Neodiprion lecontei: one gene and its partner. The protein of the gene in region 1 binds, or shares a complex with, the protein of each later gene. Links are inferred from orthologs where the notes say so. Each region holds a gene or a part of one and is shown in the gene's direction. Other genes may lie near its edges.

What was found.
Region 2: GATOR complex protein WDR59 (region 1) and nucleoporin SEH1-A share a complex: the UniProt entries of both Drosophila melanogaster proteins name them as parts of the GATOR complex. The link is inferred for Neodiprion lecontei from reciprocal best matches to the Drosophila melanogaster genes Wdr59 and Nup44A.

The regions. Positions count from the first base shown.
Region 1 is NC_060264.1:23,548,602-23,552,531, forward strand, and holds the start of GATOR complex protein WDR59, read left to right. Parts: upstream 1-1,288; 5' UTR 1,289-1,313; coding exon 1,314-1,439; intron 1,440-1,564; coding exon 1,565-1,614; intron 1,615-1,683; coding exon 1,684-1,819; intron 1,820-1,874; coding exon 1,875-2,088; intron 2,089-2,163; coding exon 2,164-2,297; intron 2,298-2,508; coding exon 2,509-2,658; intron 2,659-2,750; coding exon 2,751-2,910; intron 2,911-3,001; coding exon 3,002-3,081; intron 3,082-3,218; coding exon 3,219-3,285; intron 3,286-3,368; coding exon 3,369-3,577; intron 3,578-3,656; coding exon 3,657-3,920; intron 3,921-3,930. Other genes in the region: coiled-coil domain-containing protein 39, read left to right, coding at 1-65. UniProt on the Drosophila melanogaster protein: A component of the GATOR complex, which functions as a regulator of the amino acid-sensing branch of the mTORC1 signaling pathway.
Region 2 is NC_060260.1:39,269,687-39,273,616, forward strand, and holds the start of nucleoporin SEH1-A, read left to right. Parts: upstream 1-1,418; 5' UTR 1,419-1,592; coding exon 1,593-1,703; intron 1,704-1,870; coding exon 1,871-2,027; intron 2,028-2,103; coding exon 2,104-2,365; intron 2,366-2,453; coding exon 2,454-2,687; intron 2,688-2,800; coding exon 2,801-3,091; coding exon of another isoform or gene 3,092-3,143; exon of another isoform or gene 3,144-3,658; intron 3,659-3,930. Other genes in the region: anillin-like protein 1, read right to left, coding at 56-85. UniProt on the Drosophila melanogaster protein: Probable component of the nuclear pore complex (NPC). Involved in maintaining the localization of another nucleoporin Mgtor to the nuclear envelope of early meiotic female germline cells.

The DNA.
Region 1 (3,930 bases):
CAATCTCTCAGTGTAGCACTCAGTCCTCGTCGAGTGATAAATCCGGTCTAGCTAAAAAAAAATGAACAAACGTTCATTTTTATATAATCAAAGATAAAAATTATCGATATATACACCGTGGAACTACAAACTTCTTAAATGTATTCTTAAATTGAAAATAAATAAATAAATATACTTCAGCATTTAACAATATATTGGTGCATCGCTTTTATCCTCCTCCTCCATGAAACTGGGTCTAGTATAGATACTTGAGACTTTCACCATTGAGTTTTATTCATAGCTGGTAGCTCCATTGTGCTTTATGATTTTGATATTGGATAAGAATCGATCTTTCTTGACTTTTTTTGTCTCGTGGAACAGGGTCGAGATGAAAAAATCACAATGATATTGGAAAGAATTAAGTATCGGAAGGTTTGCAAGATGCTGCCGCGATTGTTAACGCGCATGATTTTAGTGGAAATAAGATTTCACGTTACTGTTGATAGCAGTTGGCTCCCACGACGTCCGTGATTTGCTCCGGTGTGTCCACTCTCAATCACTAAAAATGCACGTTGTCAGTTAGAATTTCAAACTTACTCGAAACCGCAAACACAGCAAGGATTACTTATATCGCGCGTACAAACTTGACTCACTCTTTATTATTCCAACCTTTTGGTTAACCATCTCAGACACTCGGGGAATTATGAACTCAATGTTTGTCACTGCTGGCTGATATTTACACACCATTATAGACGTATTATTACGTACACGGAACATTTACCATTAGCAAATCTTTCCGAACTCGGGGAAATGGAATCCGCGATACCTGCACAGCCACATCTGACAGTTAACCTGATATTCATTCGCACGTTTGAATAAAGGTTTATGTAGGTATATTCTGATCAATGCTAAGCCCGCTGTTCGTTCCAAAAGCTCACGAAATTTATTCGAAACAGCGCTGCGTTGAAGCCGTCACGGATAGTCGCCATTTGAAATTCTGCCGGCAACTGTTTTTTCGATTTTGAATTCATCGAATAGCGATGCATGTTGCCAACCCTACGGATGTTGAATGATGACCGCGAGTTCTTGAAGTCTGAAATATGTAATTCTAAAATGTTCAAAACCAAAATAATTAAATTGGGAAGTGTACGTTATGATTATTTAAAAAAGAACGAAATGTAATTATATTTGTTTTTTGCTTTGATTGTAACGTAAAATGACACCCGCAAACTGTACCAATCCAATACCAATCGAGCCTAATTCATCCTATTACACAGGGATTCTGTCATGCCGATCAGATAGTGCTGCACTCTGTCACAAGTTTAAATATTTACATGCGTACACAACGATTCATTATAACCTCAAATTTCATCAAACGATGTCGAGGTCCCCTGTCATTTCTGAAAATGTCAAAACGTTGGGGTAGCGATTATGTGGTCGCCGAGCACCGGGATTTGCAGGTAAGCCAAGCGACTCGCGTCGCCCCCACTAAAAAACTAACTCAAACTAACCACGGTTGCTCAAGATCTTTGTAATCGAGCTTCGCCCCAAACCTCAAATAATTAGCTTTCTCCACATGCACCAGGCCAATACTATGGCGGTTGACACAACCGGGAGCTTCGTTCTTCTGGCCGGGTGAGTTTCAATGCTTTCGACCAGATTCCTATAAAGCCTCTCAAATATACCGATTCATTGGCTCTGCAGGCGAAGATGCTTTGCCGTCAAGCACCTGGACGAAGGCACGGACACCCTGCGAAAATTCCAACGTCAGAGCAAGTACGAAGTTGGCTCTGCCGAATGGAATCCCAACTCTCAGAATTGTCACCTTTGCGCTATATCCGTAAGTAGAAAAAGCATCGATAAATAAGGAGAGGCTCATTGTTTTCTTTCTACAGAGTAACAACAGAGTCGAAATACTCAATTTTGTTGGTGGAGATGGACGTGATCTCACAACGACGCATAGCCTCAGAGCACATACGCGTGTTGTTAGTGACTTGAACTGGCATCCCACTGAGCCTGACATTCTCGCCTCGTGCAGCATAGACACATTCATACACATTTGGGACATTAGAGATCAGCGTAGGCCCTGCTTGTCGCTATCTGCTGTTGGTAAAAGTCCCAATTTTGTTTTTATGTTTCAACAATTGTTACATAATAGTTGTTTGATGAAAAATCTCATTTTAGCCGGAGCATCTCAGGTCAGATGGAACTGTCTGTCCCCACACATTGTGGCCACTGCGCATGATGGCGACATCAAAATATGGGACCAGAGGAAAGGGAATAGTCCGATGCAGTACATAGCTGCTCATTTAACTAAGGTATTAGTTTGGTTTTCTTTCCCAATTATTTTTGTGTGAATGCTTATAAACCGAGGACATTGAACAGGGGAAACTGTAACTTGTGTGGTGCTTGGTTTAAAATGTATAGCACGAACGTCCGAATGTTGTGAATTTTCACAATCGTTTGAACAATCTTCGTATTATTTACTGACTTGGTACATTTGGGATAAGTGGCCTCTTGTCTTTCAAGATACATGGCCTGGACTGGTGTCCTTTTCAACAAAATCAATTGGCGACTTCTAGTCAGGACTGTACAGTGAAAATATTTGATGTCAGTAATCCACGAAGAGCAGAAAGCATTTTGACGACAAGTGCACCTGTGTGGAGAGCCAGATACACGGTAAAATTTAATCATCTGTATTGCTAACTGTATCAAATAATTGCAAGAAAGTCGTGAAAGATTTTCAAAATCTCATTTACGTCTGCTTGTAGCCATTTGGGGAAGGTCTGGTTACAATAGTTGTGCCACAGCTCAGGCGAGGGGAAAATAGTCTGCTACTGTGGAACACCTCGAATCTTACAGCTCCAATTTACACGTTTATAGGGCACACTGACGTTGTGCTAGAGTTTCAGTGGAGGCATCAGAAAAAAGGTATTCCAAGAGGGGTTTTTGCAGTAAAATATTTGATTGCGCCGTATTAAATGATGTCAAAGGGCAACAATAACTTATTTTCCTATCGCAGCACCGAATGACTTTGAATTGATAACTTGGTCCAAAGATCAATGCCTGAGAATATTCAAAATCGATCCATTTCTACAAAAGGTAATCACTATAATCATCATATAATTCAGTTCATAACTCTGTATTGAGAATTCACAAAATCTAAGACTCATGAAACGACGATGTTGCTACTAAAAATTACTTATAACACAAATAAAATCAATCCTTGCACGTTTTAGCTATGCGGACACGATTTGGATGATGGAACATCTGTCTATACTCCGTACACAGAAGACAATAACCTGAGTGAGTGTATCGCAAGCTTCAAGTACGAAATTATGAGGAGAATCGCTATTGTATTTGCAATGACTGGCTAATAAAATTCTCAGGGACGTTACGTTCTATGCAACAGCTCGAGCTTCAAGATACACCGACCGACAGAGAAATGAATTTTGTCATGTCAAAAATTGACGGAGGTAAAATGGGCATAGAGTCGCTCACTTACTCAACAAGCGACAAAGATGTTTTATCGCCGACTCAGCCAAAAACGTTACAGCAAGAATTTTCATTGATCAATGTGAACATTCCAAACATTGAGGTAAATTTACTCGTGATTTTTGCATCGTTTCGATTATTTCCAGACTCACTTGTAATGTATTCTGTGTTTCGCATCTCAGGTGAACGCTATGGATGCAGAGCAACGAAGCTGTACGGTCACAGCGTCAAATAAAAATTACAATGTTATATTGAAAGTAAACTTTCCTGGTAATTACCCATACAATGCGTCACCGACCTTTCAATTCTGTCCTGGAACAACCATAGACAATACAGCGATGGCAAAGCTCTCGAAGGTACTGAAGCAGACCGCTCAACAACGAGTTAGGAAGAATCGATCCTGCTTAGAGCCCTGTTTAAGACAGCTGATCACAACTTTGGAACAGGTATTTCCTT
Region 2 (3,930 bases), on another chromosome or scaffold:
CATTAGGCTTTCGACTACTCTTTGATAGTGTGCGGTTACTTTTGATTCTACATACCCGCGTGAACGGATCCTGTGTCGAGTCCATCCCAGACGAAACAACAACGCAACAGCGAAACACTCTTCACCGAGGATCACCAAAGAATGGTAAATTGTCTTGAAAATGCGGCAGCTCTCAGCGTTAGCGGAGTAGTTTTATTTGCACGAGCGAAATACTCTAGGAAGATAAGGAGAATAACCTCGCTAGGCCCCATGAGTCAACCGTCATCCCCTCAAGTTCAAATACATTTATTGGTATTCGAAGAGTACACTATTACGTGTAGATATAACCAAAACACGCTGCTGTATGTCAACATGCGTTAGAGGTAGATCTGGTACTATTGTGCAACACTGACCGCGAAATATGACACATGGACTGTAGCAGTTTGTGAAAACTTTTTAGAATGAATCAGTTCTTAACGATGAATGAAAAAATTTTTTTTGTTGTACAGATATTCATAAGTGAACGTGTATTTTTTCAACGAATCTCAGTGTGAAGTAATTATTTGGAATATTTATGAACAACTCGTATTATACTCAAGTCGCTGTATATAACATGAATTTTAGTGAATGTTACTTTCGAATTAAATTATTTAATTACCTTTCTCTGGTTCGATTCGGAGTCTTTGAAGAATCGAATTGACCAACTAGCCTGATAATTCCCTGATTTTGCATTTATATTCATAATAATTTTCCATGTCTCTATACAAGTGCATTTGTTGTGATGATTCAGAACTACGATGTTAGTCATAAATTATTGGTTTATTTTCTTTAGTCCGTATATGATATTGTGATATTGGAACTACAAAAGAATACGAGTTTAAGTGTTGATATCGAGCCAATACAACTTACTGATTTTACACGTTGGAGCAAACTAATTGAAAATATATTTTCCATCGTCGATGAATACAAAATCCATTTCAATTCATCATATTGAATCAACCATCTTCATTTTGCTCCTATATTTGAAAAGGCTTACTTTGATTTTGGAATCAATAGTCCGAAAAATCTTGAACCACTGTTCAAGACAATTACGTGAACAGAGAAATGTATGTTTTGTAAGAATAGCCGAATGAACAGTTTTATCGGAATTTACTAAATATTCGATTTAGCCGATAGATGAAAACAAGAGATTAACAAAGCTTCGAAAGTTTTTTCAAGTACTCATTTCTGGTTTATCTTTGAATCGAGCTGTTGGTAGAGCTAAAAAATTGTTTTAGATGGAAGTAACAAATTTTTTAAGTAAATGTTTCATGCGGACGTGTAATTTTGTGTTGCGCCTGCATATAGGCAACTGCGAGTATAAATCTCTGAAATGAAGGGCGGGTAACTGATTCGCGTAAAGCTAGGCGAAAGTATCCCATCTCAACTTGGCGTATTCTATCACGATCCTAACCTCAATCTTAAGTTTTCCTCATCCGAAATCATAACCTGTAATCTTAAAACTAGTTTTCCGTTGGAATAGGAGTAGAGTTGCAAGTACGCCAGAGGCGGAAAAAACAGCGGCGTGGTTTGTTAATATTAAATCCAAGTGATTGTTGATGATAGAGTAGAAAATGTTTGAAGCCCATAGTATAAATGCCGAACACAAGGACCTGATACATGACATAGCTTACGATTTTTATGGCCAACGCATGGCAACATGTTCCAGCGACCAGTTTGTCAAAGTGAGTAGAGCTTCCAACCGAATTTCGAATTTCTCGCTCATTTCACGCATATTCTCAACTTCATTCGCATAATCACATATTTTCTTCTCTACTCCTTCACTTTGCCAAAATTGATATTACAGCAGTATTCTCGTTCACGCTTTCATTTTGTTATGTTTTTTTCTTAGGTTTGGGACGAGGACGAACACGATAACTGGCACTTGACAGCATCATGGAAAGCACACAGCGGATCTGTGTGGAAAGTAACCTGGGCGCATCCCGAGTTTGGTCAGGTTTTGGCGACGTGTTCATTTGATAGAACTGCAGCGGTCTGGGAAGAAATTGGTATAAATTTCTGATCTTGGATTGGAAAACGATAAGCAGCAGAGCATTTGTATTGATTGTACGAATCAAATTTCAGTTGGCGAAGGTTCAGGCTCCGGTGAACGAGGGATGCGACATTGGGTGCGGCGGACCAACTTGGTCGACTCTCGGACGTCAGTAACAGATGTTAAGTTTGCGCCAAAGACTCTCGGTCTTCTCCTTGCGACCTGTAGCGCGGATGGAGTGATCAGAATTTACGAAGCACCAGATGTGATGAACCTGAGCCAGTGGACTCTGCAGCATGAAATTAGCTGTAAACTTCCATGCAGTTGTTTAACATGGAATCCTTCATTGTCGCGGTATATATAGTCAAAATTTTCTTCAATATTGCTGGAACTGAACACCTAAAAAATAAGGGGAAGTGCAGTGCTTTTCCTTTTTTTTCAGGCTCCACCCACCTATGCTCGCAGTTGGCAGCGACGACTCGAATGCATCAAGTGGCGGCAAGGTCTTCATATACGAATACTCAGAAAACAATAGACGGTGGACAAAAACAGAGACATTATCCAACGTCGTTGACCCCGTGCACGATATTGCATTCGCACCCAACTTGGGACGTAGTTTTCACACTTTAGCGATAGCCACCAAAGATGTACGGATTGTAACGCTAAAACCAATGCAGTAAGTTTCGCTAAAAGTGGGAAGAAATTGTTTTTAAGAAAATACTCTCGCATGATGATTGGCATTGAAAAATTCAAAAAAATTGCTCCTCAAGTGTTCTTTTTTCTCCTCAGAGATGCGGCTCAAAGCGGTTTGTCTCGGTTTGAAATTACGACTGCTGCCCAATTTGATGATCACTATTGTACGGTGTGGCGAGTGTGCTGGAACATAATGGGAACCATATTAGCGAGTTCAGGAGATGACGGCTGCGTTCGTTTATGGAAAGATAATTACGTGAATAATTGGAAATGTGTAGCAGTTTTGAAGGGAGATGGAACCTCGGCTCACAGTGCCGAAATTCCACAGATAGCAACACCTCCGAGTCACTCGATCTCAGGAACTCAGGCACCGCTATCCACCACAAGGTACTACAAGCTGGGTTCCATCAGTCATCCTAATCAAGTACCATGGCACTAATTGAGAACGATTAATATTTCCGTTTTGAATTATGTAATATAATTTATACATCATTACTTTTCTCTCACATTTGATCGATTGAGAACAGATTAGCGAGTAACGATTTGTGATCTTAAAATTTTCACCGCTTTACGTAATCATCCTTTCTTTTTCTCGTATCTCCTCATCAATTTTTTAGCAACAGATTTGATCATAAAGAATTGAAGAAATAAATCAATAGTCAATACGTCGTAAAAACGATCTGTTTGGATTAAATCACTTCTGTATTAAAATGGAGAAGTCTCTTTTCTCTTCCCCTTGTTTACGCACAGTTTTACACCAAAGTATTTAATTTATTTGAGATGTATAAAAATATCATTTTACACTTTACGTCAATAAGTTCCTTTACATCAGATCATAATGTCCGTTCTCAGTTTTGGAGCCATGTAAGTTTATCACAATTATTTAGCATTTAATGCATTCGATATTTGTATTGTAATGTGAGCCCAGTTTTTAATAAATATTATTCCTATAGACCCGAGCACCTTTTTATTTTCTCCTGTAACCCATCTTGCAATTTCTTTATTTTTCCTAAAACAGACGGCCAAATTTACTTACATCGAAATTTAGGAACGGGTGAGAGGGATAACATTTATTATAACCGTTGAATGTAAATTAAATCCATGAATTCTACATATCTGCGAATTTAAGACAAGTTACCAAACACTTAAAATCTGGACGAAGTAGGTAACTTACACATTTGAAGTTTAAATTTCAGAAGAAGATTTCAAAGTTTCGTCATTTATGA